Linked DNA regions of Drosophila melanogaster. The protein of the gene in region 2 interacts with the protein of the main gene of each other region in a biochemical or structural test. Each region holds a gene or a part of one and is shown on either strand. Other genes may lie near its edges.

Region 1 (3,757 bases), on a different chromosome or scaffold from region 2:
ACTGGAAATGCTGCCTCTTCGTTGATGGAGCCAAAATTCGCTCCGAGAGTTTTCTGCTAATAAAAGTCCAAAGTTATGGCAATAATAGCAGCAGCAACAGAAGGTACAACAATTTGTTTTTTGCCGCTGTCGCGTGGGTGCAAACACATTTATATGTTTTCCCACGGTTAACACGACGTATGCGTAATTTATGTCGCTAGACGGCACCAGGTGCACGGATCACATAGCGCGGTTTTCATATTTCCAAAGTTCCGGCGCGAATTTGATGAATGTTTGCACTTTTTACGGCTCCTTCCATATGAGCGGTCTCATTTGAGGATAGTGCATTCATAAATTATCCACTCAAGAAAGTTGAGTTTAATGAGAAGTTTTTAAGCTCAAGCTCAAATGGAGCGGTACTTAAATTAAATGACTATTGTCACACTTAAAATTTGGCTTGCCAATCATTAGCTTTTATTTACTCTGGGGATTATTTTGAACAGCCTTCAACAATGTATTTTGGTTTATTAAATGTTTTAATAGTTGTGAAATTTTCTGGGATGCATATGCCTATGCATATTATGCATATTACGTATTCGTAAAAACTTTTGTTGATACACGTTTGTTTTTAAGTGTTACCTTACCTATTTAAGATTATATAAATCATCTACATTTACTTGGCTTTGATTTTAAAGTTTCCTAAATCTCGACGGAAGGAAAATCAAGACAGACGGAATATATATACCTTACAGTTTCGAAAACACTTTCTTCCACGCCTTTTATCAAATCAAGGACATCTCTCCAAATCTTAAGAACTAATCTCATATGTAACATTTAAACCAAACAGACCATCTTTAAGACCGACAGATGCCTTGATCTTTTTATAAATGCCACATTTCCTAGGAACTGTCCTATTCCATAAAATCGAAATATTAATAAAAAAGAAAGTAACATAAATTGTAAATAATACTATGCTAGTTTTTATTATAATCCAAACAACTGAACAACATTGGACTAAGTTACTACATGTAAATAATGCATTCAAAGAAGATTATCATAAACAACCTACACAGCCGAAGTTCCTGCACACAGTACTATATTATATAAGTAACTTAACTTAAACAATAAAACCTAAAAACAATAATAGCAATATTACACCCCTTTACTCTACAAGAAATGAATATAAATGTGGCAGATATTTTTCAGTGCTACCACAATTTCATAATTTTTAAGAACGTTGGGCATTGCCAGACTGAAGTGTAGAACTGTAGAGGTTCGTGTACTGACTAACTTAACGATAGATTGTACACAAGCCAGTTCATACAATCTTTGTATAAATTCGCAAACCATGCTAAAAGTAAATGTTAAGAAGCAATTACAATTTTTATTTATTTATATATCGCTCTATCACCGAAAAGTTACAACATTTGGTTGCACCCGCTCGCGGCGCCAGTGTAACCGTATCATTCGCCTTTGCCACGCAACTTGTAAGATTTTGCCCAATCCGGCCAACGGTCCCACTTTGGGGGTATTTTCTCAAATGGGGCAAATGGTCTCCAGCAGATTCTCACTTCATGCTCGGAATCGCACGGACGTGTCGCGGATGTCGGAAGGTGGAGCTCCTGTGAATTGCTCTTGTGCCCCGCGCACAAAACCCCAATAATAGCCAAATCGGGCAGCGCCTGCAGGCTTTTGTGTGAATAAAACGGTTTGTGGCGACATTTGTTCGATTTTTAGGTGTCGCAAATTAAATTCGTTTGCAAATACAAGGCACTTACGCACACAAACGCGAGCGCACGCACAAGTGTAGGTGTGAAAACAAGTGAAACAGAGAGCTGGGAAAACAAACTGGGCTGCATAGATACTGGCTAAATATTGGATTAAGCTCGTATAAAGATAATAATAACAACAACAATCAATCGAAAATGCGCGTGCGACAGAGAGGGTGCGAGTGTGAATGAGGAAAAGAGAGCGAGCGCAGCACGCACACAAACACTAACACGCTGACGTCGACGCGCTGTCTGTGCAGAGGAGCAGTGTTGCCAGCCCACAATACTGCTGCCCGAGAATCCCAATTAAATAATTAATAAGTTCGAATCAGAATTGGAGTATCTGAGGCAGGGCTTTTTGCTTTGCTTACTCCTTTTCCCCGATTCGGCTTATTGGCATTGGGCTCTGCTCTATGCTCTGAGTTGGCAACACTGGCCCCCAAATCGAGTGTGGGCAAGAGAGATAGAGAGACATAGAGAGCAATCGCGAGAGAGTCACATGCTAGGCGCTCATTTCAATTTTCCTCAATGAATGAACACTTTTCACGGTTTTCGGTTCGTCGGTTCGCGTTTTCCACAGTCGTGCGTTGTTTTGCTCGTGGAAAAGTTGTAAAGCCCAGCCAGCCATAATCCAACATTTTGTTTGCAGTGCATTTGCAGCGCGGGAGAGCGAGAACCAACGGCTTAGCGAGCAGTTAAATAATTTTTAAAGTGTTTGTGTTTTTAACGTGTAAAACCCGAAAAAGTCTATGCCTTTTGCATAACAAAAACAAGCCGAGCAAATAAAATAAAAGAGAAAAACAGCAATAAACACCCATACACGTAAACATATACGTACAGAGAGAAACGGACGCCTACGTCAATAAGCGAAAAACGGTAAGCGAAATTCTTTTACCCCATGTTGTATGTGCTTGCCAATTGGAAAATTTTGTATTTCCCTTCCCGCTTCCGTTCTCGCCATCTCACTTCCCCAGTCTCTCTCTCTCTCTCTCTTGTTCCCCCTCTTCCGGGCTTGCTCTTACACTTGCTTTTACGTTGTTGGCAAGCAGAGCTTCATTCATTTCCACAACTTGCACACATACACATACCAGCACACCCCCGCTCTCTGGGAATTAGAGAGTTGGCAAGAGAGCGGTGGGTCTCAGTGTGACCGTGTGTATTTGTTGTAGCTGGTCAGGCCACAAAATTTGTATTCAAGAAATTCTATTCATTTGTTAAATAAACCCTAAGCCTCAACATTTAAACATTTGCACATCATATTGTTCATAAAATACAAAAAAGTCGTAACAATAGCTCCTAGAATTAATATGTGCGTGTGTATGTATGCATTCTTTATCATTGATATGTTAAATGTGAAATGTTGAAATTCAAATTAAGCTCTGCCTTTTTGTAAACAAAAACAATGGGGTGAAAATCAGCTACTGAAATTAGCTAACCATTAAAGTTACTGGTTTTGGTGGATTTTATTAGGGAAATCATGATTAGTATATGAAAATTAGTGGACCACAAATGAGTTAATAAAATCATGGTGCACGGGAAACAATATTGCTGTATTAAGATGTTTTTTTTAAATTTTTTTATTGATAGAAAAACTGTCGTCAATCAAATCAATTTAATTTGAACACTGTACCAGCCTCTTTTGCTGTACATTGGTCCCACAGTTGCCAACTGAAGTTAACCGCCCCCACTCCCCTTCATCAAACACACACACAGACGCACTTGCACTCTGACTGGCTGGCCATCGATGTGTGTATGTAATTAGCAACAAAACTCTCGCTGGCAACTGCATCGCATGAGATTTGAGCGATGCGTTGCTTTTGTTATTGCTATTGTTGCGTCTGCCCGGACCAAATGCTCCCTCTCTTTCTCTAGTCGCTCTCTCCCACCCTCTCTACTGCCTAATTTACATTTGAATGTGCGTGAGCGCCCATTTGTTGATAATTATCAGCAAATTACTAGACGCACTTAGCAGCAGCAGCAGCAACAACAACAATGGGAGAAGTAATGCA
Region 2 (3,757 bases):
AATAAGTTTAAGTGAAGCTGCAGCTTTTTTTAACGAGTTATTCTCGAAAGAACTTACATCTGTCCATAAAACACTTTTCCAGAACGAAATTAGTGAACCGGGGTTAGAGTTTTCTTAAAAGTTTGCATCTCTATATTCCAAAGCGTTTGAAACTAACAAACACAAACTGTAATTTACAAAGTTAAGTTAAGAAATTCGACAGGGACAGATGATCAACCGAAGTTGGACGCTTACTGTGTTCCTCCATATAATTTTACCTCACCATTACTTAATTTAAGAATGTCTTCATTTTTGAAAATAATTGTGTCCAAGGGTAAACCAAAGTTCTTAAGCATTGTTTTCCCTGACAATTAAAATTGAACAAAAGAAAAATGATAAAGGAAATTAAAGTTGAAATTTTTAAAGTAAAGATATATTTGAATTTATTTATGAGTCTTAATAAGTTCTTTCTGTGCTCTCTAAGTCCATTCACGTTGGACCCACTTCTTCTTTAATAGATAATACAAATGAATTATATCAAAATCACTGGTTCCTGCGCAACTTATTGCGCCAACAACGGCAACGACTGACGTCTGGACTGCGGCAGCGCCGACCAAACACAAGTTTTGCAGTCTGACGGCTGTTAAACAAAATCCCAAAACTCCATACACAAACTAAACTAAACTATATACTAAAACTAGACATCAACTGAGTTGGGCATTTTAAACAATGTGCTAGCTTTGCAGTCGCTCTTTGCGGTGCTACACTTGTACCCGCTCCGTCATGCGAGTTAAACTGAAATGTATTCTAAGAATGAAATAAATTGTTAATAAGGAAAAGGTCATGTTATAAAATAAACCTACATTAATTAAAAAAATTAAACCTACACTTATACCTAAAACCATGGTATTTCATTAATTCATAAAATAAATAGCTGTCATAGACATATTTTTCACGATTTCTGTAAACTTATATACTTGGCGTACGTAGCATTTACTTCGGATATCACCTTAAGAGTAACAAATATATTTAAGTACATTCGGATTTTTTAATGTAAAAATATAAAGTTTTTGACATCTGATAGTATTTTGTTTAAAAAGAATGTTCGATCATCAATCATCCTCCGTTGCAACACTGCTGAATTTTCTGTAGTGGGCAAACTACATTTAGTTAGCTGTACATTTGTATATGCTTCTGAGTAGTGAGCTGTTAAGAAATTTTATTATAATATAATAAAAAAGCAATTAAAGGATTTGTTTTCTCTTAATTAAACATTTAATTTCTGCTTTCGTGTTAATATGTATATTCTACATTGGTTTGTAGTCACGTCTTAATGGTGGGAACAGTACTTTTAGTTCCGTTTACGCTGAATTTACATCTGTTAGGTCACACAGCAGAAGATGGCACATGCCTGCTTTCTTGTTTTATTTTAATGGGCAATAATAGCTTAAATTAGGAATATAACACTAAGTCAAAAGGTTTTTATTTCTGCGCTCCCATTGAAAAATGTCCAAAAATATATTTAACCCAACATCAGGTTAATATGTGATGATCAATTTCCTCCTTTAATACCAATTTTTAAATAAAAAAATGTCTTACGCAATGACTGATCATTTTTAAATTATTATATTATTTAATATTAATTGTGGAAATTGTGGCTGCCAAAAGACTGATGTACCTTTTGGGATCCGATTATAATTGGATCGGATAAACATTGACCAGTGTCGTTATCTTAACATATTATTAATGTTTTACGCCGTCGATTTTGATAAATCATATTTACGCATTTGTCTAAAGAGTAAAAAAAAGTTGAGTTTATATATTCATATCTTAAGTTATAGACTTTTGGTTAAATTCATAATAAAGTAAATAAAGATTTTGCACTTATTGCTGTTCACTTAAATAAGATAAAGTGGGACATATTCAGTTGTAAAAGTGTTATTACAATCCACGCATACATACATTGCGAATTTTGCAGATACGGTGTATTTTGTATCATAACATCTTTAGTAGTATTTCAAGTTTTCCAGAAGAAACGTTAGTCATGGAGGAATTTAATTCGAGCGGATCAGTAGTTAATGGTACAGGATCTACGGAAGTTCCTCAATCTAATGCTGAAGTTATAAGGGGACAAATATTTGAAGTTGGTCCTAGGTATATTAAACTCGCCTATATAGGTGAAGGAGCTTATGGCATGGTTGTGTAAGTACCTAATACCTATTTTTATTTTTGAAGCCGTTTTTAATCTACAGTGTTTGCACACCTCTTTCTTGTTGTTCCTTTGTCCATTATTCATAGTTTTTTTTTTATCTTGCGGTTCTCCTTCCGAAATGCAGTAATACTCAGAACCGTGTTCTCTTGATTTTATATCAAGTAATACATTTTGTTCAAGTCCTTTGCTGTAAGTTCGCATACATGGTATTGCTGAATCAATGTTATTTTTCGAAAATGCATTAAATTTATTCACATCAATCATACGCAGTACTAAGCTGTGAAACACTTAACAACGAAATAGTTTCTCAAATTTTTGATTTCTTTCTTTTTCTCTAAACGTGGCTTAGTTTTGCTTTTTCTTTGACAAAATCAATCTTTAAGGGTCGACACAACCGAGTTTGTTTTCATGCAAAAGCCTAAATTGGCCGATGGACTTTATAAATAAAGGAAAGTCAATAGCTTCTGAGTCATATTGCTTGCTTTTAAACGCTGCGCACAAAACTTTCGTTTACCGGTCGATCGGTTGTTCAACGCAATACAATTTCTCGCTAAACTTGGATTTGCTTGTTAAAGTACTCTTTTACTCGGTGCCTTTATACCTTTTTCTAATGCTTTTGGACATAATTAGGGATTATTCATTCATTCATTAAAAGTAAATTTGGAACCTACATTTTCAAAAATAAAAAATCAACACATTTTTTAAAAGTTGCAGTTGCAGTTTTGGGCGGAGAGTGGGCATGGCAACATTTCATTTTTCAGTATTTAAAAATAAAAAATATTTAGTTGAATTATTTTGTTATATTCTTATAAAATATTTAAAAAGCGGACATTTTGTTTTTTTTTTTAGTTTCTTTTAATTTTAAATTATAGTTTTATGTTTTTTGATTAGGTTGGAGTTTTGAGGTGGGTAGCAAATGGGGTTGATTGACTGAAGAGAGCATATTTTGGGGAGGGGTCAGTTCATGTAGTGGGCATTGGTAAGGTTGGTGTGTCCAAGCCTGAGCCTTTTTATTAGGATTTGTGTTTTCTTATTGTGTTATGTAGTGTTGTAGCTTGAAGGATGAGCTCATACCAGGGAAAATTGAGAAAAGTCGTCACAGTTGTAATTTGAGGAGTGTACAAGGGCGTATCTGTGGGCATCTTTAGCTGTTTTGTCGGCGTATTCGTTGGCGGATATGCCGATGTGAGTGGGCATCCATATAAGTTAAATAATTGGGAAGTGGTTGGTGAGAGGGTTTCTTATTGTGGATAGATATTATGAGATGTTGATTGGTATTGGTATTGGTGAGGAAATTTAGGGCGGACAGGAATTCGAAGCCCGGCGGCTAAATTTAATTTTGCTGGCGTTGCTTGTTACGCTATAGCTTATTATTTAATTGGATATCGAGCCATATGTGTGGCTGCATAGTTGCAAACCAATGTATGGCCGTTACGCATCTTGTTATTCTAGTGTCTTTGATATAACATTGGTTGCTGATTTTAGTGTTCTTCTGGACCTTAAACTAAAGTTTTTCAGATCATATTTCGACTATTGTCAATAAGGCAGGGGTGTGCTTGGTTTAAT
Region 3 (3,757 bases), on a different chromosome or scaffold from region 2:
CGAAGCTACTAATTTGGGCCAGTGATCGTCGCTGCGGCGATCACTTGGAAACGTCGTCATCGCCATCGCAGCTATCGACGGAAAAGATAGCACTTGAAAAAAATATCTCTATTATATTTCTTAATTAGAGTCACAATCTAAAAGTTCTTTAATGTTTCATATCACGAGGCTTACTCGCTAAACTATTTATAGCCATAAAAATACATGTTACTATTTATTACTTACCTAAATGCCCATTAATCTAGATTTTCTTTCAGTGCATACCCACGGAACTGAGCAGGGGCGTGCAGGGCGTGGGCGGGGTCGTCCGGCTGGTCGCCGTTTATGGGCATTTGACTTGAAATGTCAACGTAAACGTTGCTCGTTGCTCGGGGAGAAACTGGTTAGCCAACTGAGGCGACTGGAGACCCCAAAGCGGATGCAGTGCAACTGAGCGCATCTTCAGGCCCACCGACCGACCGACCAACCGACCGTCCAAGCAACCTGACGAGGAACCCCAGCCCCGCCCCCTTTCCAAAGAGATTTTCCGTCGCAGCCGAGCGGAAATGTTCCAACAATTTATAATTAAAGATTGCCAACTGGTTTCCATGAAGATCCAAGATTTATGGGATCGAAAACACCTATCAGCTAGCACCTCCAAACATTTTGTATTACAATAGAGCGCTTTTCCCAGGCGCGTGGCGCTTATTTCATTTTCGGCCAGGGGGTCGTATTCATAATTATTTCAAATGCTTGAGAGCATTATCGCACACTGATTAGAGTTCACGGAATTGTCTTATCTATGGTTTATGTGCAAAAAGCTCGCCAATAGTCACAATTGACAGCTAATGGGTATGGCATGCTCGATCATTTCAAGTTTCCAGTCACAATAGGTGTGTATGTTATCTAGTGAGAGAACGATCCCTTGGTATTTCGGCGCCCATGCTTCTGGTATCAGCATGAATCGTTTGTTTAAACTTTATCTTCTATTGATTAACAACTAAATCGAGCGCCCCACGCGAATTCGACGCCGCCCACAGACAGCGGTTGCCTATTGAGTTGTTTCGTAGTAAACTTTGGTGGGTTTTAAATTATTTAAATTATTACCTCTGCGAGCTGTTGCTTCTTTCGTTGCCAAGGAAGTGGATGGTGGATCTGTAAATGTTTACGCGCCTAATGATTTGTTTGTGGTCTTTGCACACACTCCTACTTCTCAGAGTATAATAACATAATCGAGATTATTATGGCAATTGTGGGGAATCTGGGAATTTTAAAAAATTACGAACATAAAATACGTATGTTAATTGAGATTATTGTGAAATTATTCCGGAATTGGAATTGGAATTTTGTGGCGCATGCAAGTCTCTCAAGCTCTGATATAAGATTGTTTATAAATATTGAAATATAATGAGCAGCTCAGGGGTGTCTTTCAATCGTTAAAACTTTAACTCATATAAGACTGGCGCATCAAAGCTTCACTGTACCTCAAAATATAGGTCCGATTTAAGATATAAATCTTGGACGCTAAAACGGATACGGATCAAAGCGCGACTTCCTTAAAAAATTATCTTATTTTCGTATTCTTCACCAGTTCTTTTTGAATTGTTTTTGCTGTATGTCGCTCTCTTTGCTTCTCTTTCTCTTTCGATTCTCTCTCCGCATGCGCCGACTTGTTCATGTTCGCCGCCTGTTCGAATCGAATCGGCAGTCAAAAAGAAACTGCCGTGCTGGGCGGACGTGTAGAAGAGTCGCTCCTGAAAGCAACTAGACATTCTGCTGTAAATGGCAAACTAATATGTTTTAAATTGATTAATTCACAATTAATAGAATTTAATTCGTGCGCGGCGTTGAGGAAATAAACGGTTCTTCTTAACTCGGTGTGTGTTTACATTGCCCGGTGTGTGTGTGCGCGAAACGGAAATAAAAAATAAACAAGAGCGACAGCAACAACGCCAACAACAACAGCAACATCAGCGAGAGCAAAGCAACGCAACAAGAAGTGCAAGCAAAAGTGAAAAGGAAGACGAAAGAGGAAATGCCAAAGTACAACAACAAATACACGAACAAAACGCCAGAGTGCAAGTGCATCGCGTGAGTGTCTTACAGTGTGCGTGTGCGTTTGTGTGCCCGCGTCTGCCTGTGTGTGCGTGCTGCTGAGGCGGCGGCGGAAGTAAAAACGCTTGACTTCGCCTTCTTCTTATTCATTTGCTCCGCTTTACGGCTGGCATTTGTCGCAGAACGAAGCGAAAACAAAAACAAAAACAGAGAGCCTGGATTAGCCCCAAAAGCACACAACCACCGCCCACGCGGCGCCCCTCACCAAAAGGAAACAGCAACACAAACAACAATGGCAACTTGGCGCGACGCCCTCTTCGTCATCAGCAGATAACAACAAGAACAACATCGAATTAACAGAAACAAAACCAAAAACAAAAATAAAACAAGAAAGCGAAGCAAAAGCTAAAGCATTCTGGGATCTGGACATATCCGCTTCCGCGTTGCTTCTGTCGCTAAAAAGCTCAAGAATCGAATCCGAAGCCCAACGCAAACAGACAAATTCACTCACTCACCTTACAGTACGTAACCACAGTGCACAGTGGAGCAAACAGGTGAGAATTTTGATAATTTGTATACTTTTTGTTGTGAACTGTTAAATTAACCATTGTCAAAATAGTAGCAGAAAAGAGTGTCAAAAATAAAAACATTTTTTCTCAATATGTAAGCACAATGGTTTTTATATCTGGAGTTCTTTTATATTCGTAATCGTGCAAGAATCGGTGTTTACAGACATTACCCCTGTATCACTCCATTGCCGTCGTTGCTTTTTTTTACGAATTGGTTAAAACACCATCTTTTGGTACATGTATTTCCCATAACTACGTCACAATGGTCATGGAAACAGAAAAGTGTCTTGTCTGAGCAGCTGATAAATAATTGCTCCACCTTAATCTGGCTTTGGTTATCTGCTGCATATGACTTCCCCACTTCGCTCCACCCGACGTCTTACAATGTCTGAGTTTTGGTCTCTGGTTGAGGTCAACAATTTGTCGGATCTACACGTGTAAACAGATAACTTGGGCTATATTTGGTTCGCAGTACACTCATATGAGATGGATGAAGACTCGGCAACAACGGTTTATCTAAGGTTTAGTTGATTTATTTGCCTGTTCAGAGGATCTGATTGTGGCGTTTTCATTTGGGGCTTGTTTAAATAATAAGAGTTACAATTTTATGGGGATCTTGGGAGTGGTTTTATAGTTTAATTATTGTTTTGTTATCTGATTGTTGCGCATAATTTGTTGTATGTTCTTCTTGTTTCCAAATATGATTAGATATTTCTTACAGTCTAGTTGGATTGTGATTAATTATTACCTGTGGTTGGTTGAGAACCATATGCAAATACTCATAGCTCAGTCTAGTAACAATATGATATGATAGTAATTTCTCTTCCCAAGCCCAGTGTCTTGACTCTCATTGTATGCACGGTACGCTTCACCGATTCCCTAGCATTCTACAATACGAACAAGATCGATTCACTTGGAAAATAGCCTCTTCTATTTTCACATTCCACTCCACATTACGGTACCTGGGTGCTTTTCGTAATGCCCGTTGCATCATATTGGCCAGGTCCGAGTTTTCCGCCACAAAAATGATGAAAACGGTAATTATCGGAGTGCATATCGGTGTGCTTTGCGCTATATGCTATATGCTATAGAACCGGGCTTTCGGAATCGTTCTTTCTGTTCGGTTCACGAGTCTCTTGTTGCATGCACTTTTC

The links.
Region 1: the proteins of rl (region 2) and cic form a complex in vitro, tested with the Drosophila melanogaster proteins (2 studies listed by BioGRID).
Region 3: of the proteins of rl (region 2) and aop, one has a biochemical effect on the other in vitro, tested with the Drosophila melanogaster proteins (one study listed by BioGRID).

What each region holds. Positions count from the first base shown.
Region 1 is NT_033777.3:20,251,230-20,254,986, forward strand, and holds the start of cic (capicua), read left to right. Parts: upstream 1-1,540; 5' UTR 1,541-2,624; intron 2,625-3,757. UniProt on the Drosophila melanogaster protein: Transcriptional repressor required for the specification of numerous cell types during embryonic development. Required for terminal patterning of early embryos.
Region 2 is NT_033778.4:1,070,259-1,074,015, forward strand, and holds the start of rl (rolled), read left to right. Parts: upstream 1-1,716; 5' UTR 1,717-1,787; exon of another isoform or gene 1,788-1,992; 5' UTR 1,993-2,023; coding exon 2,024-2,181; intron 2,182-3,757. UniProt on the Drosophila melanogaster protein: Serine/threonine kinase which acts as an essential component of the MAP kinase signal transduction pathway to regulate proliferation, differentiation and effect cell fate decisions in various tissues.
Region 3 is NT_033779.5:2,176,678-2,180,434, reverse strand, and holds the start of aop (anterior open), read left to right. Parts: upstream 1-1,680; 5' UTR 1,681-2,588; intron 2,589-3,757. UniProt on the Drosophila melanogaster protein: Ets-related protein that functions as a negative regulator of photoreceptor development acting antagonistically to pnt and the proneural signal mediated by RAS. It acts upstream of SINA to inhibit R7 development.